Linked DNA regions of Rhinolophus ferrumequinum. Each later gene encodes a partner of the first gene's protein in a complex. Links are inferred from orthologs where the notes say so. Each region holds a gene or a part of one and is shown in the gene's direction. Other genes may lie near its edges. The genes, in order: PPP2R5C, CRYBG1 and PPME1.

Evidence for each region.
Region 2: the proteins of PPP2R5C (region 1) and CRYBG1 are in contact, whole or in part, in a crystal structure (PDB 6VRO), measured with the Homo sapiens proteins. The link is inferred for Rhinolophus ferrumequinum from reciprocal best matches to the Homo sapiens genes PPP2R5C and CRYBG1. Residues at the interface, in NP_002710.2 of Homo sapiens: Lys183, Thr184, His187, Tyr190, Gly191, Leu194, Arg197, Ala198, Arg201, Glu226, Ile227, Ser230, Ile231, Asn233, Gly234, Phe235, Ala236, Lys240, Glu242, His243, Pro265, Gln266, Tyr269; in NP_001358171.1 of Homo sapiens: Pro1136, Phe1138, Ala1139, Met1140, Pro1141, Pro1142, Ile1143, His1144, Glu1145, Asp1146, His1147, Glu1149.
Region 3: the proteins of PPP2R5C (region 1) and PPME1 are in contact, whole or in part, in a cryo-EM structure (PDB 7SOY), measured with the Homo sapiens proteins. The link is inferred for Rhinolophus ferrumequinum from reciprocal best matches to the Homo sapiens genes PPP2R5C and PPME1. Residues at the interface, in NP_002710.2 of Homo sapiens: Asp180, His187, Arg188, Tyr190, Gly191, Leu194, Arg197, Ser230, Ile231, Gly234, Phe235, Ala236, Lys240, His243, Asp313, Gln341, Tyr348, Glu353, Tyr354, Glu399; in NP_057231.1 of Homo sapiens: Arg37, Lys38, Arg39, Asn192, Lys217, Val251, Glu252, Gly253, Ile254, Ile255, Glu256, Glu257, Pro345, Gln346.

What each region holds. Positions count from the first base shown.
Region 1 is NC_046289.1:2,951,817-2,959,814, reverse strand, and holds the start of PPP2R5C (serine/threonine-protein phosphatase 2A 56 kDa regulatory subunit gamma isoform), read left to right. Parts: upstream 1-4,925; 5' UTR 4,926-5,009; coding exon 5,010-5,036; intron 5,037-5,853; coding exon 5,854-5,919; intron 5,920-7,998.
Region 2 is NC_046286.1:59,667,310-59,674,991, forward strand, and holds the start of CRYBG1 (beta/gamma crystallin domain-containing protein 1), read left to right. Parts: upstream 1-4,608; 5' UTR 4,609-4,630; coding exon 4,631-4,878; intron 4,879-7,682. UniProt on the Homo sapiens protein: May function as suppressor of malignant melanoma. It may exert its effects through interactions with the cytoskeleton.
Region 3 is NC_046294.1:49,200,404-49,208,278, forward strand, and holds the start of PPME1 (protein phosphatase methylesterase 1), read left to right. Parts: upstream 1-4,865; 5' UTR 4,866-5,058; coding exon 5,059-5,159; intron 5,160-7,875. Other genes in the region: C2CD3 (C2 domain-containing protein 3), read right to left, coding at 1,349-1,618, 4,385-4,439. UniProt on the Homo sapiens protein: Demethylates proteins that have been reversibly carboxymethylated. Demethylates PPP2CB (in vitro) and PPP2CA. Binding to PPP2CA displaces the manganese ion and inactivates the enzyme.

The sequences.
Region 1 (7,998 bases):
AGATAGAAGCAAAGTGGGCACCAAGGTATAAATGAGTAAATAAAATGTGGCATATCCATACGATGAACTGTTATTCAGCTTTAAAAAAGAAGGAGCTTCTGGCATGTGCTACGACATGGCTGGACCTTGAGGACATTACGCCGAGTGAAATAAGCCAGTCACAAAAGGACAAATCCTGTATGATTCCACTCGTATACGAGGTACCCACAGTAGTCAAATTCATAGGGACAGAAAGTACAATGGTGGTCGCCGGGGCAGGGGAGTACAGGAGGTCACTTCAGTTTTGGAAGATGAAAAAGTTCTGCATGTGAATATGTGAATATACTGAACTGTACATTTAAAAATGGCTAACATGGTAAATTTTAGATTATGTGTATTTTACCATAATTTTTTAAAGTTTTTAGAAAGGCGGTCTCAGTAACTTCCACTTATAACTTGGATGGCGTTTCCTCTAGAAAGGTGGTCTTTCCAGGTCTCCCAGGACAGACGTGACCAGGAATTCTGCTCAGTATGGCAGAGACTGTAGAGTTCTGTCCAGAAATTGAAGAATTTCTTCTTAAATGAAGTCTGTAGACACAGCTGTGGCTTTCATGCCCATTACTTCCTGTGGCGCTCACAGCAACCATGGAGGGGGCAAGGCAGGTTGCATCACGTCCATTTCACACGGGTGCAGACCAGCGTTTCCCCACCTCAGCACAGCTGCCATTCGGGGCAGGGTTCTTTGTCATGGGGGCCGTCCTGGGCACTGTAGGGTGTTTAGCAGCATCCCTGGCTTCTAACCACCGGATGCCGGTAGCAATACACCGCCTCACCCCTGCCCTGCTACCCAGCTGTAACAGTCCAAATGTCTGCAGACGTTGCCAGATGTCCTTTGGGGTGGGGGGAAATCACCCCCATTTGAGAATCATTGGTTTAGAGAGCTTGAGCCAAGGTCACACAAAGTCTGCACATAAACCTGAGTCTTCTCATTCCAAATTTCCCATTCTTCCCTGATACAGTTATTCTCCACTTAAGGTCCCTCGAGAGCACCCCCACCCTCTCTGGCTCCCTGGCCCTCTGGCTCCAGGCCGTTAGACCAATGGGAGGCACTGGTGAGAGAGAGGGGGAAGGAGGAGAGAAAGGGAGGGGCTGTGAGATGTGACTTTGGGGTGTTTCCTTGGATCCTCAGAACTGAACAGCACCTCACATGAAATCACTGTCCACTGGACTTAATGAGCACTTGCTATGTGCCTGGCACTGTTCAGCACTCCTCATATGGGTATTTCATGTCAGTGTAATCTGAGTTACACTTACTCCCTCCAACTCCTCCACCCCAAATCTGCAGGCACGTTTGAATGGTGCCCAGTTCAGTGAGAAATGTGTTTGATGACATGTCAATGGAAATGAAGAGAGGAAAGGTGGGGGAGTAGACGAGTTGAACTTCCAGGGCAGGGAAGGCCTCAGGGGTGACCGTGAAGAAGTTACTGCCCAAGCGAGTTCATGGGCAGCCCCTCTCCAGGAGAGGTGAGCAGCAGGGGCTGGGAGCCTGGTGGGGCTGGTGATGTGGACAGAGAAGGGGGTCTTGTAAGCACTCCCCAGGCTGAGGGGCAGACAACAGCCTAAGAGAAAAAGCAGGAGGCCAGAGAAGTCTGAGATATGGGCCAAACCACAAGCAGCAGTGGAATCAATTTCTTTCACAGACGCCAGACACCGGGAAACACACAATGCCCAAGACAGGCTGGTGTACAGAGAGACCGGAGAGGGGCATTCTGGGTGGAGGAGACCACAGCTGCAGCATAGCAAGCGGGGCTGGGTTTGAAGTGGCCCCAGAAGAGACTGTGAGAGCAGGGCAGCTGTGTCACAGGCACCTTTGAAGACAAGCGCGTGGGAAGAGCTGCTGAGGGTAGATGCAGGAAGGGTACCACGGCTGATGAGGGTCGGGGCCCGTCTTCTCTCTGCCCTACTTTGATGTACCACTTCTGCTGCCCAGAGTGAAGCACCAGACTCTGGGGCTGTGGCTGTGGCTGCAGTGCAGCCAAGGACCTAGGTCCTCTGGGGACTTCTCTGATCCCCCAGAGACCTCAGAGGTGTACACGAAGTCATCCACTGTACAGAAAAGATGAACATAGAAAAAACATTGCTAGGTCACTGGGGGCCATCTCAGAAAAGTGTTCCAGAAGGGTGGGTGTCTGAAGAAGAGGAGTTTTGTGTGCCATGGGCAGTGCCTTTAGGAATGTGGCAGGCGGGGCATCTCAGAAGAGGTAGCCCTCAGGCACATGTGCACACGCTCACACACACAGGAGTATGAACACACACAATTTCCATATTCCACTAGAGCCTATTCCGTATCCTTCTTTTGACACCTATCTTTATGTTCCTGTAAAGGTCACAGCGGCCAGGACACTGCACCATACCCAGGGTCCCCTGTGAACGTTCCATAACTAATCGTGGTTATGGGATAGCCCTACTGTGGGCACATGAAAACCAGTTCAATGACCAGTGAGGAACACGTGTGCCAGGCTATGGTGTTGGCTCCAATTTCTCTGGTTAGTATGGTTTCAAGGTAACGAGGCAGCTTTTCTGGTATCTTGCCCCTACACTTGCCCCCAAACTCTAATTGAATTGATAAATACCTAACCTGACATGCACTGACACTATCCTATCAGATCCATATTGTCATTTGCCACCTAGGACACCTCTACTGGCATGTGGCAGACATAGCTCCAACTCAACACATACCAAAACCGAAATCACGGTCCCTCAAAATGCGCTCCCTGCTGTGTGCCTTCCTCATCCCTGTGCAGCCCCAACTACACAGGTATTAGCCTGGATTCGGGTTCGCTCCCGCCGAGCAAGTCTGCCTCCTGGATGTTTGTGATCCTCCTGTTACTGCCATAGAGACGCCTCACCTGCCCACACGTGGACGGTAACTAGATCCTGGATGTTCTCCTGGCCTCCTACCTTCACCCCACCCCCAACATTCCTGCTACAGATGTCTTCTAAAGGGCAAACGTGAGCATGTCACTCACCAGTTTAATATCCTTCAGTGACCCTGAATTACATGCTAAATTACAACCAGAAAGAAGTCCAATGCCTTGGGAAGGTCTCGTAGAGGCCTTTGCTCCCATCTCCGGCCGCAACAAAATCCTTCTGTGCTATTTCCTGCTTCCAACCCAGACCACCCTCACCCCAGTCCCTGTAGACTTGCCACACGTCATGTCCTTCTGGCTGCTGGTTTTGTTTCCACCAAGGATGCAGAGCACTTGAGGACAAGGGTAGTGTCTTGTTCACCACGATCCCCGCACACACAGCGGGCATGCAACAAATGTCTGCTAGGGTGCAACACTGTATCAGGGGCTGTGATCCAAGGGTACTGGAGGCATAGACTTGTCTTGGAGAAGCTCCCAGCCCGCTTAGAGCTCCATGGTTGTACTGTTTTAGAACTACTCCTTTTTGATAAGGATTTATGCTGGATTTATTAAATTGATAGCATCTATTTTATTTTTAAAATAAAAAGTTACTAAATTAACTAGGGGCACTGCTCTACCCCTCATAGTTTAACTATTTGTTTTGGAAAAACTATTAAGCTACTTAAAAGACTAGTCTAAAACCGTTTCTTCTGCACATATAGCTGTTGGAGGCTGTGCCATTTACTTGCAGTCATTTGTCTAAAAGTGCACATCCAGATACCTGCAGGCAGAACTTACTTTCAGGACCTCCCACGACACTCCTCACTTTAGACCTTTTTTTCTCTTCTTCTTTTAGCTTTCCCAACACAGAATAACCGAAAATGCTCTGCCTGGCAACTTTCAGAAACTGAAAACCGGAGCCTAAGACAAAGTGCCCAGTTATGATCCAGAAACTTAATCATCACGGTGAGGCACCGCTTCTCACACGTGAAATCCGTTCACTCCTGGAGTCTTACTACCTCAGCTATGTTTTCATCTCCATGCCTGTCATCAGAGTCTCCAACAGGTTTTGACACTAGACTGTGGAAGTAGTCTGGGTATCGAAATTAACCTTCTTCCCTTAGTAAACTCATCTCCCCAGAGCTATTAGTGAGATAACAAATCGCGTGACTACTGGTTATAATGCAGAGACTTCCTCAAATGGTTTATGATCAAGCCAATGGGAAGAATAAAATAAAACCCCATTCGCGCTGGGACCTCGGGGCGGGGTCTCGGTGAGCGGGGCGGGCATCGGCGGGCGGGGCCTACGATGGAGGGGGCGGGGCGGGCACCAGTGGGCGGGGCCTAACGAGGCGCCGCGAAACCGCCGCCCCCAGACTTCCTAGTCACCCCCATGCGCTAGAGCGCGGGCGCTTTCAAGTTCGGCAAGCACCGCAGTGGCGAGGGGGCGAGGCCGGGAGGCCGCCGTTCGCCCCGGGCCGCGTCCGGCCGGCTGCAGAACTTGTTGCCAGCCGTTTGAAAAGTGCCTTTTCCGTGTGTCTCCCTTGCACCCTGCTGTCTCCGTCCCGCACCTCCACCGCGGGCACCGGACCGTCGCCGCAGTTGCAGCCCCACGCTCCCTCCCCAGACTCGCCTGAATTCTCCCGGCCGGCCGCTCGCCGCAGCCGACGACCCTGCCGCACGGCCTGTGGATTCCAGCAAGAGCGCGGCGTGGGAACGAGAGTGGGACGAGGCCCAGCGCCGGAGGCGGGGATGCGGAAGAGCGTTAGGGCACGTGAGGGCGTCTGGGCCAATGGTAGGGCGCCTGGCGGCGGAGGGGCGGGATCTGCGCGGGGGCAGGGCGGGGAGCGGGGCTGGGAGGCGGGCGGGGGGAGGGGAGGAGAGCGGAGGGGCGGAGCGGGGCGGGGAGGGCCGGGGAGAGACGCCGCCGCTGCCGCTGCCGCTGCCGCCGCCGCGGCTGCCGCAGCCTCTGGGAACCTGGAAAAGGGGAAGCGCGAGCCAGCGAACGGCTCAGTCCCCGGGCGGCTGCGGCAGCGACGGCGGCGGCCGGGAGGGCGCGACGGCCGGGGCGGGGGCGCTGCTGCTGCGGGGGGCCGGCGGCGGGGGCGGCCCGCACCAGCCATGCCGAATAAAAACAAGAAGGAGAAAGTGAGTCAGGGCCCGGGCGGGCCGGCGGGGAGGCCGGCGGGGACCTGCCCAGGAGCCGGGCGCGGCGGGGTCGGGGTCCTGCGCCCGGACCTGCGGCCCCGACGCCGGGGTCCTGAGGGCACCAGGGCGCCGCTCCGCCTGCTCCCGGAATGGGGGGCGGCCCGGTCTGGGCGGGGGTCCTGACTGCGGCGTGGGCGCCCGGGCAGTGCGCGCGGTGGGCGTGAGGGGCAGGTGCAGCCGCCGAGGTGGTTGACCAGCCTCGCAGAGCCTGGGAAGGGGCTTCAGGGGTGGGGGCCGCAGACGTAGGCGGGACCCGGCCCGGAAGAAAGGGAGCGAGCGAGTGCACCCCGCTTGATGTTTGTGAAGAGTCGTCTGCTCTGCAAAGGGACCCATTGAGGCTCTGTTACCGGGGTGGCGGCGGCGATGGCTCCGGGTGCTGCGTTTGCGGGGGCGTGTTTGTGCTTCAGGCAGGGCTCTGGGACCACCTCGGGGATCCCCGCTCTCAGGGTTTCGGGGGGATGTGGGTCTTCAAAATGCTGCGAGCACTGTGTACATTTGCGTTTATCTGTTTTTGCTTAAAGTTTTCAACTTCAAACACAGATAAAACGAGGGGAATCTGGATGGTGGGGGGCAGGGTGGCGTCTATCTTAGTTACATCTCTAAACAATATGATATAGGGTTTGATGGTATTGATTAAAACTGTCGTTAAGTCCTGGTTAAATTGTATAACTCAATTTTAAAACTGCATTTTGATTTATCTGTTGTTGAGCAGTCTAAAATTTGAGAAGCCTAATTGATTCTGCTTGATATTTCCCAGGAATTGCCAAAAGCAGGGAAAAGTGGAAAAAGTTCAAAAGAAGGACAAGACGTAATTGAACCAGAGGTAACTGTTCTCAAACGCTCACTTCCCGCTTGTTTATAAACAGCTCTTAACTTAGGATAGAAAAACGGAGGCTGATAAAATCTAGGGTTTTGTAATGTTTCCCTATATGAGATTTCCCCCCAGTGTCTTTCATAGCCCTCAATTTTAGTTATTTAGGTTTTTATAATGCTTTGGTAAAATATGAATGTTTCTATGAATATTATGCGTATCTGTGCTGCTGGGATTTTAAAATTCACCCTTACCCCACCCCCATTGCTCCCCCACCCCACCCACATCTAGCAGCGGTCCTGTAGAGACTGGTTGGTTCCACAGCATCTGTCTCAGCTGGACTTTTTCATGTTCCTTTTAGCTTTCCATCCTCCCACTTCCTTCCTTTGTAAGTGGCCAAGGTCCCTCTCTCCTGGGCTTATCTCCTCCTTCCACCGCCGTAGCTTTCCTCAGTGCTGTCTTTGCTGCTGGTTTTCTGGGCCACCTCCTTTTCTCTGTTGATGTCTGGTCCCCTTTAGTCTCTTTCCCCAATAGTGTTGGTATATTTTGGTTTATCTAGTTCGGGTATTTCTGTACAGTCTTCCATCCTCTTTCGCATTTTCTCTTTGTCTGCATTTGCCAATTCTGACTTCTTTTGCTTCTTGACTTTGGGCTCATTGGGTAACAGCTGCAATGCCCGGTGAAGATTGTGTTGACGTGGTGGGGTCGTGGCAGTCTCTTGACACCCTTGTGCTTTGAGAGCATTTGCAGAGCCAGCCTTTGGCGTTGCCTTTTCTTCCTTGTGACTACTTGTTGAACTGGAGCACATCGGGCTAAGGGTCCAGGAGTGGTGTGGACCCAGGCAGAGCTAATAGGCCCTTTTGAAACATTAGGAGCAGAGAAGCTGCTCAGTGTCCTAGTTCTCCAGGGCTGGATCGTGGAGGTCTCTGGTCTTATCACAGATGACATTAATTTGCAGGTGTCAGACCCCTTCCTATGTAAGCCAAATTAGGATGGTTCATTTCTGCGTGGCCATTATCTGCAGTAGCCTTTTTTTTTTTTTTTTTTGCCCCAGGTAATCTTTTCCTTATCAGTTGGTGCATTCTAAGCTTCCCTCCTCTTGGTAGGTGATTTATTCCAGCAAATGTGTTGCTCTCCCCAAAACAAAAAGTAGAAATCCAAACGGTTCCTTAACTGTCAATATTAGGGATGATTTGTGCCAATCTTTCCCTGCCCTTTCTTTATAGCAGACAATCGAATTTTACTGTCATTCTTGTATTTGATTTGCTTATTTGTCTAAATTGCTTACTTCCGTGTCAATTTAGATTAAATTGATTTAAATGAAATTTAGTCTCTCTGGAAGAGTGTATACTTTTTCTTTTCTCTTTTTAATTTGTTGATCTTTCATTAAAACTGCTAGACGTCCTTCCTAGTGCTCCCCAAATCTTTCTTGCTCACGTACCTGTGTCCTCTCACTTGTTAGTGTCCCAAAGAAGTCTCAATGAGTATGGTTCATTTATTCCTGTTTTAGCAGAAAGAACCCGGCTGAAAGGATGGAAAAGATTAAGTTTGAACCTGAAAAAAATCCATCAATAACTGAAAGATACCAAAACCACTAATAATGTAAATTACGTGTTTTTAAGGTGGATTGGGTTCCTAGAGTGTCAATTGCTTACGACCCTTTGAAGTGTGGCCTGCAGTGTCTGAATGTGATGCCCCAGTTGTCTTTTTGTATTTTTTCTAGCGCTACTAAGAGCTGGAGCTACAGAGCTTGAAATTACCACTGAAAAATACTGAAATGTGGGCCCTTCACTACTTCCTCCTAAGGATACCAGAGGCAACATGGCATGTTAAGCATGACACTGGCAGATGACCGTGTAAATTATTTTGCAGGAATACAAATTAAGGCTCTGCAGTTCACTTGAACTTTGAGTTGAACCTTACTTTTTTATTGTTGTTTTTCTCTTCTCAGTCTTCATTTCACTTCTTCACTTCTGGTTCCACCCACTTACCAAACATGATTGACTCAGGCAGGTGAATTAAACCATTATTGCACACTCTTTTTCTCTCCTTTTCTCAGTGTTACCCTGAACTTGTGAATATTTTAACCTG
Region 2 (7,682 bases), on another chromosome or scaffold:
AAGTCCCATGGCCAACCCACATTTAGGCAGTGAGAAAATAGACTCTGCTTCTTTATGGGAAGAGTGAAAAATTGTGGGCATTTTTATAATCTACCATAATGTCAACTTAAGTTCAGATAGAAAGTGTAACAGAACATTAGAGAGAGAGAAAAAAATCAGCGTAGGTTGAAGGGAGGATGAGTGGAGATTTGAAATGGACTTCAGATTGCTGGACAGAGGGAGAGAAGTGAACAGGGCATTATAAGATAGAGGACCCTACCTCTATCTATCTAGCAAAATCTTGAAAATAGAAATCACATGACCTTGTTGAGGGGCTACGCTCTGCCCCAGATATCCTTCTACCTCTTCAGCAGCTATGTCTGGCCTCTGTTGTACGTAGGCTCTCCCTTACCTGCAAAATACGTAAATGTTAGTGTTAATGTTAGGGTTTTGTCCTTGCTCTTCTTTTTTCCTTTTTCTACACATTTCCTCTGGATAATCTCATCTAATTTCATGGCATTGACTCCCACCTATTTAGTGATGATGTCTAAATCTACCTGTGCAGTCCTGGCTTGTGACCTTCAGAACCATATTTTTTCAATGAATTAAATATCTCTGCCTTAGCAGCCTCCAAGCACTTCAGCCTCAATATGTTCAAAACCAAATTTATTTTTATGCCCAGAGACCTTGATGTTTCTCCTGTTTTCCTGTTTTCAGTTAATGCTTCCACCTCCATCCATTTGCCTGAGCTAGAAAATTAACCTCATAGTTATCCTAGATTGCTTTTCTCTCGTTCACTACAATTCCTGGTGATTGCATCTCCTACATGTATTTTGTATTCATACCCTCCTCTCCACTCCCACCCCACTGCCTTAGTGCGGGCTCCCATCACCTCTCACCTGACTTCTTACAGCAACCCCTTAACGGATCTCCCTCAAATAGTTTTACCTTACTCGTTTCTCCTGACTCCACTCCATTCAGGGTACACTTTATAAAACCCAAGTTTGATCATGTCACTCTTCTACTAAAAAATGTAAGCGGAGTCCTACTGCCTACAAAGTCAAGTCCCAATTCCTTAAAAGCATGGTTTAGCAAGTGCTTAGCAATCTGGCCCACCTGATTTTTACCAATGTCATCTCCTTCCACTCTGCCCCACCCATCCCCCTTTTCTCCAATCTCACTGACACTATTCCCCACCAACAACACATACCCGTTCACAATCCTGGGCCTCCGCCCATGTTGTTTACTCTTTCTGAATTGCCAGCACTTTCATCGCCATCTGGTAAATTCTTATTCATCAGCATAGCTCATGAACCTGTCACATCCCTGCTAATGACTTCCCTGAGCCATCTAGAGTTGTCACTTCTATGTTCCCATAGCCTTTTGCCCTTTCCTTCAGCAGTGACCATCTTCATGCTTTTGGCCACCTACTCTTTTGAATACCTGTGCTATGTTTTAGCTGCGTGAATTCCATCTCTCTGAAGTAGAAACCAGAAAATTTAAATTTCCCGTGTAGCTAAAAAGCTGTTAAATGGCCCAGGCTTCCCCAGTCAGATATACGAGCATGGAACTTTTTTTTTCTCCCCAGAAGTGAGCAACATGTATGTCAGGAGGTTAAGGTGGGGAGCTGATATGCCAAGAATGGTCAGAATAGGACTTTGATTCTTGGGGTGGCAGTAGCAGGGCTGCTGGTGCGTAGCCCCTAGTGCTGAGAGGTGGTGAGAGTGGTGTTTGTTAGACCAGCTTTATGGGGTGGCAGGGCATGTTTGGGCTTCAGAGTCTCTCGCTCTTTGGCTCTGTGGGGTATTCTATAAGCCACTTAATATGCTGTGACAAATTAATTTATTGCTTAAACAAGCTTGAGTGGATCTGCTTTTGCAATGACTGACAAATAGTGAAACAGTTTGGTTAGAACATATCAAGTTTTATTATACCAAGTTGTATTGTATTTAAGTGTTTATATCCCTCACTAGATTAATCACAAATACTGTATCTTACGCTTCTATGCATAGTTCCAATATATTCTATGATTCATATAAAATATGTATTGAGTGCCTATTTTGTGCCATGCAATATGCTAGTCATTGGGGATGTAATAGTGAAAACAGACACATTGTGATCTTTGCTCTTATAAAGTGTACAGTATACAAGGTCTGTGCCTGAAACATTTTAGGTATCCAATTAGGTTAGTATACCAATTCATTTGATTAATTATTTCACTTAATGGGATTCATGTCCTGAAAATATAAAAGTCAGTGAGAAATGTCCTTAAGTTTCTCTCAGGCTAATAAGAGACACAGATATGTAAATAAATAATGTCCACGTAATGTGAATAGTGTGATAACTGAAATGTGTTCCAGATTCACTGGTGGCACAAAGGAGGGGTGGCATAAAGAATTCTGCTTGGAGGAGTCAGGAATGAAAGACTAAATTACTGAACTTGTAAATATTTCAGCAAGTGTGCACAAGAAGACTTCCTTTTTCCCCTCTTCTCTTTTCCCCCTTTGCTTCTCTTTTCTCTTCTTCCCTCTTCCCTCTCTTCCCCTTTTCTTGCTGTTCCTTTTGCCCTTTAAGGTTCAATTCAAGGGCCGCTTTTATATTAATACTAAATCCTTACAGATCACGCCTCTTCCTCCTTCCTAAACACCCAGGCTGGGTTAGTAATGTTTTCAAACTCGCATAATGCCTGGTACATACCTCTACCTATTCTCTTACCCTTTCATGTATCTGTCAGTCAGGCCCCTCTCCCAAGTCAAGGCCTGGCACATAATCAGTACTCAATAAACTCAACAAATATTTCTTGAGGGAACATAAATTAAAATTGCAATGAGATACCACTACACCCCCATCAGAATGACCAAAATAATAAGGATTGATAATATTGTGTTGATGAAGATGCAGAAAAACTGGAAATTTCAAACATTGCTGAAAGGAGTATAAATTGGTACAACCATTTGGGAAACTTGCTTGACAAAATTTACTAAAACCGAACATATGCATATTCTACTACCCAGAGATTGAACTCTTAGGTATATATCCAAAAGAAATGAATGCTTATGTCTAAGAAGGTTCATCATCAGCTTTATTCGTAATAACCCCAAACTGGAAACTGTAAATGTCCGTTCACAGTATGGATACATAAATTGTATCCATTCACAGAATGGATACATTAATTGAGGTATATTCATATCATGGAATAGTGCATAATAATTTTTCTTAAAAATGAAAAGCTATATGTAACAATATGGATGATTCTCATAGACTAATATTGAGCAAAAGAAACCAGACACAAAAAAGTACATATGGTGATTCTACTTAAATGAACTTCCAGAAGAGGCAAAATTAATTTATGATGATAGAGGTTGGAATAATTGTTTACTTTTATAGGAGGAAGGAGTAAGACACTGGAAGGGGACAGGAGAGAGATTTCTGAAATTTTTGAAATACTGTATATTTTTCTAATGGTTTATTTAACAGCCACATACTGAAGGATTTTCTGGGACAATATCAACTGTCCTTCATTAAAATAATTTTACACCTCCAACCACAAATTTGAGTTATATACTAATAATCTGTGTATTTTCTACTGTATATAGGTTATACCTTGATAAAAACATAAATATAAAAATAATCAAATAAATGTTCCTTGAATGAGTGAGTGAGTGAATGAGCTGAGTCTTTCAAGAGAAAAGAAAGAAGGTAAGACAGTTTAAGAGGGACTTTGTACTGCACTGAATTTTTAAGCAATACTTAGATCTTGAGCTCTTTGTACTCTAATAATGCCCAAAACAATTGTTCATGTACTTCCTTTGCTTAAATATTAGTTGCCTTTATTATTTAACCACGATTGTGAGGTTAAGAAAAGAAAATCATTAGTAGTAAAGCAGAAGACTAGAACCTTGTGGGACTGGCATTTAATTCGCAATGAGGGATCTACTAAGCCCTTTGGGAACGGGGCAATATGCCTAATTACCTTCTGTTTTTTAGCCTTTTGTGCTTTATGAGATGCAAGTACAAATTAATTATTTGACTCTCAAAGGGAGAGGAGAGAAGTTGGCACCCGTGTTTACAAACAGGAACCGAAGCCAGCCAGCATACGACTATATTGCCCAAGCCACCCAAGGGCCAGATAGGAATAGTCCTAATTGTCGGGTGGGCCGGCCAAGGGATGCGCCTCTCCCATCCTTCGTCAGGCGGGGCTCATGGCAAAGCCACTCATCTTGCCAGACTGGCACAGGCCGCAAGCGGCCAACTCTGCAGGCGACCGATGGCATATGCACTAGAGATGCTGTCAAAATCAGACCTAGCTCTGGTCCCCAGTCTAGAGGAGGGGATGCAGTCTGGAGACGCAGTTCCCAGGGATTCCAGTAGGTGTCGGGGCCCCCACCCCCAGCAGCCGTGACCCGGGAGCCGGAGACCCGGACTGCGTCGTGCTTACCTGGAGCTCTTGGCGCGCCCGCCTCACCTGGGCTGGCGCTCAGAGCCGCCTTCGCCGCGCGGGGGCACTGTGCCACGCCAGGGCGGTCTCCGCGGGGAAAGCACGCACAGCGGTGCTGTTCTTGCTGGGCTCTATCCTCGTTCTCTAACTCCCTGGCGAGGGGGTGGGGTCCGAGAGCGCGCTGGGTAAAGGCAGGCGAGCCGGCGCCCAGGTATGTTCTTTCACAAGGGCCGGGCGGCGGAGAGAGCAGCATCGGAGCAGCGGGTGGAGGAGGAGGCAGACAAGAAGATGCCACTGTCGCTGCCATCTCAGGGCGACCCCGGGGAGTCCAGCCCCTCCAGAAGCTCCAAGAAGCACACCCCTTTCCATATCTGGCGCCCCAAGAAGAAGCAGCAGCCTCCGCCGTCTGACTGTGGGGTGTTCGTTCCGCACCCGCCCCCGGCGGCCCTCTGCGAGGCCAGGTGAGTTCCTCGCCCCAGCCCTCCAGGCGCACCTCCTCTTCCTTCCGAGGTACTCCAGCTACATGGACGCTTGGGTCCTCTCCACCGGTGGCCTCGCTCTAACCCCTTTAGAGAAGGGCACAAGCCCAGGGTCTGTTTCATCCGGCAGGAGTGTAACGGGGTCCAGACGGGCGCAGTCGTGGCCTCTGTGTGGGGGGTGGCGGGGTGCTCAGGCTCGTTGCTGCCTCTCGCTCAGACCAAGCACCAGCGAGGGGAACTTGTGCCCACCCAGGTGGCCTTGATTTTGACTGGCAAAGAATTTTGCAAGTCTACCCTACCAACTTGCTAACAAGAGCAGGAGAGTGAAAGGTCGTAATGAATGATGATAGCAACTCTACCTTGGGATTACATAATACGTTGGATAATGGGGCTTTCATTGTGAAGATCCCCACTCTTACAGCTCTTATATCTCCATTCTCCTGGCGATATCGGAACGGAGAAGGAAGTGGCAGGGGTGGTTACCCCCATTTTATGGGTGGAGAACCTGAGGCCAAAGGGTTAAATGGCTTGTCCCCATTGGAATACCTGGCAAAAACGAGGCAGCACCGAGTTATTCAAAGTATAATTGTCATTGTGCTTTTTAAATCTTTATCATGATTTTGTGGTGATTTTCTTCTATATGTGTAATTATTCAATTGCATTATCTGAATTGTTACATTTATTGCATAATAATCAGTTTGAAGTAACAGTATATTTATGTGGTTTGGAGGTATAAAAGGTTTTTAATGAAGGACAGTGGGCAATGTCCAGTAATTCCTTCTGTGTGTGTTTTTAAAATACACTCTCAAGAAAAATGAGGGCCAGAGTAAAATTGTACAAGATTTGCATTTTAGATATATTTTTCCTTTCAGATTTAAAAAAGTCTGAATTTTGCAATATGTTTTCAATCATTTAGTAAAAATTTTATTGAGCATCTTAACTAAATGCTGGGCTGTAAAAAAAACAATGAGAGGGGTCTATGCCATCAAAGAATTCTTAGTCTCTTGTGGAGACCAAAAAGTGAACAGTGGGATAAATGCTATGATAGATGTTAGCGCAGAGTAGGGGATCCAGGAAGGCTTCGTGGAGGAGGATAGCTGAAGTGGCTTAGTCAGATCCGGGAGGAGCAACAAGTTCCAGGCAGAGGCGATACTGGAAGCATCGCCAATACTCGGAAGAGCATGGTACTTCCTCAGAAGCGCAAGTGGTTCAGCGTGATCTGAGTATGTGTGAGGGGGTAGGGAGAGAAGTACTAAGAGAGAAGGCATTTTATTTTTTTCTCACTTTATTATCCAGTAATTGGTTGTAATAGAACATATTTTTATCTATTCAAAGACATGCTGTGCTTCATTACGAATTGAAATTTCTAACAAAATGTTACTTCATACTAGTTTTCCTATTCCCTCAGTAAATAGTTTAAATATTTCCATAGGGGTCGTTCTTATCTGATGTAGCCCTATCATTTGCTGTCTATCCAGATGTAATCATTCATACCTATGGACCATTTATTCAAATGCAAATACATTTTAAACTAAAACTTAAAACAGGAACTTTTGCTTCTCTCCTTGAGCCTCTTGTATTTTAGTTCAGTCTTGGAGCCCTCTATGCTTCCCTTCAGAACTATGATGAACTTTGTACGGACAAATGTTCTGAAAACTAAACATACTGGTCTGTCTTTGGGATGTTTTTCTAGTTAAATCATCTTTTAAAATATTTTATTTACTTCTGAGAGAGTATACCTGTTTCTAGTCTAAAGAGAGTGGTCAAAGTGCTCTTAGGTTGGTCGGTCTTTGGCCAGTGTGGCTCTCTTGAGCCATCTGACCCTGTCCAGGACTTGGAGGTGGTGGAACTCGGGCAGAATGTGCAGCCCTCACTGTGGCCTTTGTCTCTACATGAGAGTGGGACAGTCAGGTGGCTACATGCATTTGCTGGGCACATACGGTTAATATTATGAGCTTTTAGGTTTTAAAAAAATGAAATGGCTGTGTGACCTTTGACAAGTTTCTTTACCTTTCTGAGTCTCAGTTTCTTCATTTGGAAAATGGAGGAAATAGTAATACTGACTCTGCAGGGCTGTCGTGAATATCAAATGAGTTTTTATGTTATAAAATGTAAAACTTTTATCACACTTCTGGGCAAAAAGTAGGAATTCAGTAAATGTAAAAACCATCATCATCATCATCATTATTAATGCAAAGATTTAATGGAAGAAATGGAAAAAAAAAACAGGGTTAGATGGGGGGAAATGCTTTTCTTCCTAGAAGAGCTTACTATTCCAATGATGTTTCAAAGTTTATTGATGTCAGATTTCTGTATTCTGCAAATATTTGTGGCCTTTAGTGTTGATGTTCTGAAAATTAACGATGGTTACTTTCTTTCTTTACGTAAAAGGACTTGAACATGGCTGCCTGTTTTCCTAAAATTCACCCTTAAAGGTTTTCTTCACCTTGGTTTCAGTAAACATGTTAATGTTATTTTTCATAGAAACAGAGCTGTTACCCTCCTGGGCCAGCCACGCCTCCTGTCTCCCATTAGTCTCTTGAGATCAGCGGCCCGGTGGTGTGTGTGGAGAGGGCATGGTGAGCTATTGGCCAACTTTCCTTAGTAGCCACTAGTGACACTATCATTTATTAGGTTTTGAATTTTACTCTATTTTGTAGACAATTTATTCAGAGTATGGGCTCTTCAGGAACAATGTCCCTGTTCTACTTACTGTGACACTTAGTCATGTCACCCTGGGCAAGTTATGAACCTTTTTCTGCCTCGGTTTTCTAATCCACCAAAGG
Region 3 (7,875 bases), on another chromosome or scaffold:
TGTTCTTCTCATTCAATCAGGCTGCTTCTTCATAAAAAAGCCAGGTGAAAGGGCAGCTATTTGGTCCCATTTTACAGATGAGGAAAAGGGGGGGGGTCAGAAATGGGAAGGGACTTTCCCCAAGTCCCACAACTGATAATACCAATCTAAAGTTCAAATGCCAAGTGTAATGCATTCTTTCTTTTAGCACAGGATGCTTGAATAAATGTCTGACCTGTTAATTTCATATTAACACGTATTTTGTCTCTTACTAAAAAATTTCTAATCACTCTTCGTTTGTGAAATTATATAAAAATACCACCTGAGGATTTAAGTTTCAGGTTTACAGTACCCAGAGTATCTACGGGTAGCCTTTAAAAGCACTTATCACTTTCTACCCACTATTGTAACTAAACTGCTCTGTAAATTTAGTTAAAATTAGATATCATTCTGATTCATTTTTTTTCATTCATTTTTGCAATTCCTACAGTGGCTAGCACAATGTGTAGCACATGCTAATAATGTTCAATATGTATTTTTTGAATGACTGAATTTTTTTGTTCTTTACATTTTGACGTTTTCAAAATATTTTTCTTGATAGAACGTAAGCTTCATAAGGACCGGTTAATCTTTAATTCACCTTGACTCTCCAGTATTCTTAGCCCAACAATGTTTATGTGATCCATGCTTAACTTTTACTGACTTAAACCATATTGATTTGATAAATAACTCCACCATTCAAAATATGTTTATCTGAAAGCTTGACCTGAATAGAGAAATAACACAGTACATTTAGAATGCTTTCCTTGAACAGAAATGAAGAAATTTTGGCTCCTGGGTCCTTGTAGAACAATCCTTCCCCTCTTAAAAAACCTGTGGTACTAACTCACTAAACCATTCATTTGGCATTTAGCATGCATTATCTTGTACTAGTAGTAAATTTTACATCTATATCCTTTCCTTGAGCATAACATAAGTCCCAGAGCAGAGACTATAGTTATTACTTAAAGAAGCATGATGTGGTGAAAAGTAAGAGTTTTGCTTGCAAACAGAAGTGTGTTCAAATCCTAGTTTTGCCACTTATCGGCTGTGTAACCTTGGAGAGTATTCATTTAATCTCTCTGAACCTCAGTTTCATTGCTTATAAAACAGAAAAAACATCTATCTTGCAGGTTATTAAGGACTAGAAACAATATATATCAACTGAAAGCACATAGAATACTCTCAATAAATGATGGCTACTATAAAACCTCTTTGACTTCTCAATAATTAACAATGTCACAGATACTATGTACATAATAGTACCTATGCTAACAACATAACCACATGCTTATTAGGCCTGTAGTGAAATGATAAGACAAAAACTTACCCGTTAGATAAGAGGTAAATTGCTTTGGACCACAGCGAATAGCATAACGTGTAGTTGTTCTCACAGCTTTTGGTTCAGTCTGCAATGTGTCCCTGGGACAAAAGAGGGTTCCATCTGATGTTTCTCCCCACCATCTCACTCGGACAAGTACACATGAGGGAGGCTTTGCAATCTTCCATACGACTTTATTAACAGAAAGTTTCAGAAAGCAGCGTAGCTGACCTTCAACCAGAGGTGGCAGGCTTGTAGATGGAGGAATGTCACTCAAACCTGGGGAGGAATCCAAGAACACAAAGTAAAAATGTAGACGAAATATAGAAAACATATTATCTGTTTTTTTGAATGAAAACACAAAAAAATGCTTTAGTCTCTACAGAGAGCAGGCTTATCCTACCTATTCTAATACATGAGAACTAGCAAACCACAGAATAATCTACATGATCACTTAAGCCACCAATATCTACTTAGTATGTAGATATTGATTCTAGTTATTATAAGAACATACCAACTTAAGACATTGTCATGCAGGGTGTCATGTCGGTCTCTGGTCCTGCTCCCCACATAAGAACGCAGGACATGGTGAGGCCGAAAAGGAACACCCATGGAGCCATAGGTAGGGGAGTCATACCACTATACGCTCGCTGGCGGCTGGGTTGGAGACACAGGAAGCAGGAGCCACACTTCACAACCCTCATTGCTCTGCTTGCAGGCTCAACCACCATCTTCTTGCTAGCTCCCATTTTTCTGCTAGTGTAGCCACAGCAGTTATATTAGTGGCCAATGGCTCACTGGTTACTGCTAACGGCCAACTAGACACAGCTGATAGCCATCCAATCACAGTTGATGGCCATTTACTACCTGAGCCAGCACCTTTCCACGTGAGGCCGAGAGCCTGGAAACTGCACTCCTGGCTCTGTCCCCACAGACATGCTAATACAAACTCCTCCTTAACTGAAAGATACCATTTTAAAAATACAAATACAATGATAGGTTTTTAAAATCTCAGAAGTAGTTGAAGTTTTCTTCCAAGTACTGTCGTTTTGATTATTGCAAAGTCCACAGTCCTTAAGACATGTTATCTTTACCTAACTCTCTTACTTCAAAACCATCACTAAATTTAGAACTCCCTTCAAACTCAACTCTCAAACGATTAAGTCTATACTGTACAACTCAGCATTTCAATAAAGACCACCTTAAATCGTCTGTTTCCTTTGCTGCTAATATCACACAGCCCATGAGGACAGATTGTCTTCAGATTTATAGCACGAGCTGGCTTCATAATATTTATTGGTTTTCAGACAGATAATAAAATATAAATGAGGCAATTAATCATGTCTTTCTATAAAACTTTAATGTATCTTCCAACCAAGACTGGGAGATGTAAGAAACCATTCTTACGAGCATATTACACATACATTTCTAGTCCTCTGACTTTTCCTTTGGGGAATGGTCAGGCCTCACAAGAAGAAAATATACTGAAGTCTATAGATCAGGAATCTATATAACTAATTCTTAGGATTTTTTAAGTGAACACCCTCTCTGTTCTCTAGAGTGGAGAAAAGACCCACCATAACCTTTATGCATAGCTAGTTTCAATATAAAAATTATGCACAGGTGTTTACGTGAGCATTACTGCATATGCAGATGGTATAGAGAGGGGAGCATTCTTACGTTATTTCTAGTTTGATTTTTCTATTAACCAAATATGCTTCACCAGTTTGACATAGGGAACACCTGCATTGACTACTTCCATGTGTCTCATATCCTCCCATCATTCCTGGCAGGAAAGACACTGCTTCAAAACTTAGTTAACTTTAAACAACGTAGCTAAAATTCATTCCCAGACTGCAGCTTCAGTCCTCAACCCAATGGCCTAATGTACCATCACTATTCCCAATACCTCTTTGCGTATAATGTAAAAAAGACAGTAACATGATGGGTTTTGTTTGTTTCGTTTTTTGAGGTAGTGCTGTAGAGATTCAATTTCCAGTTTCCTGATCTGCCTTGGATTCCTAGGGTGACTGTTCCTCCAGCAGCTAACATTTCCCTACTCTCTTAGTGAACTGTTTCTCCTGGAGCATACTAACCCGATAAGGTCCTCTTGCTACACACCCTCTCATCATCTCAAATCCTTCAGAGAGCCTCATGTCCTTAACACCACTCCAACTCTAACTTACACACCATGTCACTCTCCACTCTTTCTTCCTCTTTCCCCCACAGCTATCTTTCCCAGTTCTCACCTGTAGCCCTTCATGCTTCATGACTGTTTCATGCTTCACTCACTCAACTAACATTTACTGAGTTCTGCTTCATGCTAATTCTTGGGGAGTAATGTATAAAGTGTGATTCTTGCCTATTAGGATTCCTGACATACTCCCCTCTCCAACTTATGTTTCTTCCAGCCCTACATGGACCTCCAAAGGAATACCCCTCCCCCCACCGCACGTTTAACTGTTACCAAAAACAGTCCTAATCCATGGGGATGTAATGTACACCACAATGACTACAGTTAGTATATTTGAAAGTTGCTAAAATAGGTCTTAAAAGTTCTCATCACAAGAAAAAAAAAATTTTTAACTATGTATGGTGATAGAGGCTAACTAGACTTACTATGGTGATCACTTCACAATATATACCAATATCCAATCATTACGTTGGGCACCTGAAACTAACAATGTTAATGTCAATTATATCTCAATTTCCAAAAAGTTAAAAAAATTTTCGAGAATTTTTTGTTCCCTTCCTCTAGAAGCATCCTACCTTTACCCTTTCGGTCTACACCTCTCCCTATTTATTTGTCCAGTTTGCCCCCCACGCCAGACCCTATTTCCTTACCATTCGTTGGAGGGCCAATTGCCCTCTCTTTTAACCTTCTCATTCCCTGGTTATCCTCCTTCTTCTGTCCCTTTCCCTTTTCTTTCTTTCTTTCTTTTTTTTTTTTAACAGGAGTGTGTGGAGGTCTCCCTAGAATTCCGTACACCCTGCTCCCCTGTTCCTCCCTATTACACCTTCACAACCTCTGGTCGCTCAGGTTACCTCTTTTCTTGCGGCCACGACCGCCCCCAGGCCCTTGGCCTTTTCGTTGTTTCATGACGAGGCGGAACTCTTCATCAACTCAACTCCGGTCCCAGCACCTAAGCCGTAGCCTCCCGCCATCCCTTCCCACCGCGCCTGTGTTCCTCGGCAACCGGCGCCGCTGGGCAGCCTGGGAGGCAGGAAGAAGCTGCTCTTCCTCTAACAGTCTCTGGGAGTCCGTGAGAAGGGAAGGCGCCAAGACTTCTTAGCGCTCATACACTACAACACCCAGGATGCTTTGCTACCCTACCTCTGCGGGGTTGGACGCTGTTTCTTCTAGCTGCGCAAGCGCAGAGGGATACGCCCTTTGAGGACTCCATTGCCCAGGGTGCATTGCCTAGGAGCGCTTCTCTTTCCGGCAAGAGTCGCTAAGATTCCCGGCTTGGGGTCTGAGGGCTCTTCAGACTTCGTTACCCAGCTTTCCTTGTGAGCGCTGTTGCGCACTTCCGGTGGAACCGCCTGAGGAGAGGGGGTGGAGTTTACGGAGCCGGTGGGCGGTAGGCGGTGCTGCCGGTAGCTGGGTGCTGTCCAAAAGCGACTGTGCGTCGGTAGAGAGGCGAGCTGTGACCGGTTGGGCCGCACATATCGTGGGACGAAGCTTCGGCTCCTGTTTGACTACCTGCGGCCTCCCCTTCATGTCCGCCCTCGAGAAGAGCATGCACCTCGGCCGCCTGCCCTCTCGCCCCCCTCTGCCCGGCAGCGGGGGCAGTCAGAGCGGAGCCAAGATGCGAATGGGGTACGTGACCAGTACCCCTTCTCCCTAGAGGCCAGGCCCCGGCCATTGGAGAATGGAGTCGACTATGGGCGTTTAATGCTGCACGGACAGGGAGGCTACGGAGAGGAGAGAATGTTGGCGATCGGCCTGGAGACGTTTAGATGGAGTAGAAGGCAGATTTGGGCACTAGGGGAGACGCCAAGTCCATGGAAATTGGAGGACAAATAGTATTGAAGGGACAGGGAATAAGCAAAGATTGAAGAGGCCCAGAGGGTAGTTTAAGAGATATAACAAGCCCTTCAAGAAGACGGGATGGAGGAGGTTTGAAGAAAGGGAGTACAGCTGTGATAAAGGTGGGGGGAAAGCTGCCGGGGATGATTGAAGGAAATGAAGATGACTGAGTGAAAAGTTGAGGGGAATTAGGGGCAACAACTAGGGAAAAATTTGCGAGGAGTAAGAAGACTATGAGAACTAGATATTAGAAAAGCTGAGGGGACTAGAGAACACCTGAAGGAAAGTAAACTGGGGAGCAGAAGGTTCTAGAGAAAGTTCCTAAAGGGGTAAGAGGCAGATTCAGGGAGTTAGGGGATGACTAGGAGAACTGAGAAAGCTTGGGGAAGAGGCGTAAAGAAAGATGGAGAACATAGCGAAGGAGACAGTGAAGGATAATAGGAAATGTAATGAGAAGCGAGGGTAGGGAACAAGAAGAGGAGTGATGCGGGCTGAGGAGCTTAGAGAGTGACGATGGACTTTAGAAATTGAGAAATGACGAGGAATAGGGTTTAGTGAATGGAAGTGCTGCAGAGATAATGTCTGGGAAGCGTAAGGAGGAAGATTTGGGCAATTGATTTTTGCTGGGCAATTAGGTCCGATGGAAGCTATGTACTGGTTTGATAAAACTCAGAATTAATGAAGGATTGAGAGTAGCCATTTAAAATGTTTCAGAGGAGCCGTTTACTAGGAAGAAAGCTGTGTTGAGGAGATAGACTTTTGAAACTGTAGGTTGGTGAATGGTTTGTGCCAGGTTAGGGATCTCAGTGTAGGAGAAAGCATAATGAGTTGAACGTGGGAGAGGTACTTGCTGGAAAGCAGAGAGAATTGAATAGGCAGTTGGTTTTGAGGGGTATTTGTAGTATCAGACAGGATTCTGGAGACTAGTGACTGTAGAGAAAAGGGGCAGGAAGAACACTTGGGTGTTAGGTAGTCCAGAGTGTGTTTGGGATTCTGGAGATGGGCTGGTAGAGATTCTTGGAGTAAGGACTAGAGAAGAGAAACCTTAGGTTTTCAAGAAGTATTATGTACAAGAACTAATCAAAAAGGAGATGAAGATAGGAGATGTAGTACTGTGAAAATAGGTTCTAGGAATGAAGAGAAAGCAGAGTCCTAAAAATTAAAACATTGGGTTAGGAGGCGGTGAGAATGGTTGAAAAAACCCAGGAAGGAAACTTAAGAATTGAAGTGGAGACTTGATTATGATGTACAGTAGAAAAATGGAAAAACCTTGACAAGAGAAGGTAGGTCAATGGACGCACAGTAGAAAGAGATGGTAGAAGGCTGCATATAAGGTAAGATGAAGATGGTTTTGTCTTTGGAAGACAGAAATGTAGGACTGCATAATAAGGAGGATCTGGAAACTGATCCATAACAGATTATTTGGGAAAATTAACCTGGAGTATAAAGTTAATAACTTTTATTGTTGTTGTGTATCTTAGTTGCTGCCTATCGTAATCTAAAATTTGATCTTTCAGTATACCAGCACTGTTCGGTAAAAATGTACAAAAATAATAGTTTTTTAATAGCTGTACATGCTTTAGATAAGTTTAATTAGAGCTCAGCTTCTCACTTTGTCAAAACAAGTTCTCTGAAGATGAAGAACTGAAGAAAAATACTAAGAGAAAATTACGGGAAAATCTGCTGATTAGACGATTATATAATTGTTAGTAATTTATCCTTTTTAAATAGATGCTTTCGTTTTCTTAGTTTAGGTTAACTGCTTATCCCGGAAAATAAAGTTATTTAGAAAGATGCTTCTTTATAGTATTGTGAGGACACGACCATATGTTGGTGAATTTTATTTGGTCCTCAAGTGGCTTATTTCCCTGTATTTTTTTTTTCTACTTCCTGATTGGAACATAGGCAGGCCTCATTTAATGTTAGTGATAATAACAGACTCTCCCCTAGAATCATAAAGCTGGAAGAGAGCTTTGAAATGATCTCATCTCAGCATTTCACTGTATAGTTGAGGGAACTGAGACTCAAAAAATTCTGTGTTCTGTAAACTAAACTAAGAGGCAGGGGACAAAATTTTCTCTTAATAAATGGCAAAACTGAAACTCAAATCTTCCTCATACTGAGGCACCCTAGAAGCTTGGTGGTAAGGCCCCTAAGGACTAGAACATGGGTCTCTTGACTCTGAGACCCACTGTGTCTTTTTGGATTTTTAGTTATTATTCTGAGAATACTTAGTTTGAGTTTTATATCTTATTCTTTTGCAAATACTCTAGGATTCAGTGTTTCTTTTTGCTTAGTCCTGATTTATGAAGTCTCACTTTCACCAATTTCAAAGCATCCTTCTTTATTTCTCCTACTCACTTGCTTTTTTCTTACCTTATCATTTTTTCCTACTCTCCCATCTCTCACTGTCAAGTTGGGCCTATTCCTTTGACAGTCACTTATGTGACTTACTCTCTTAACTATTTTTCATAATTTTATGCCTTCAATTTCACTAAACCTTACT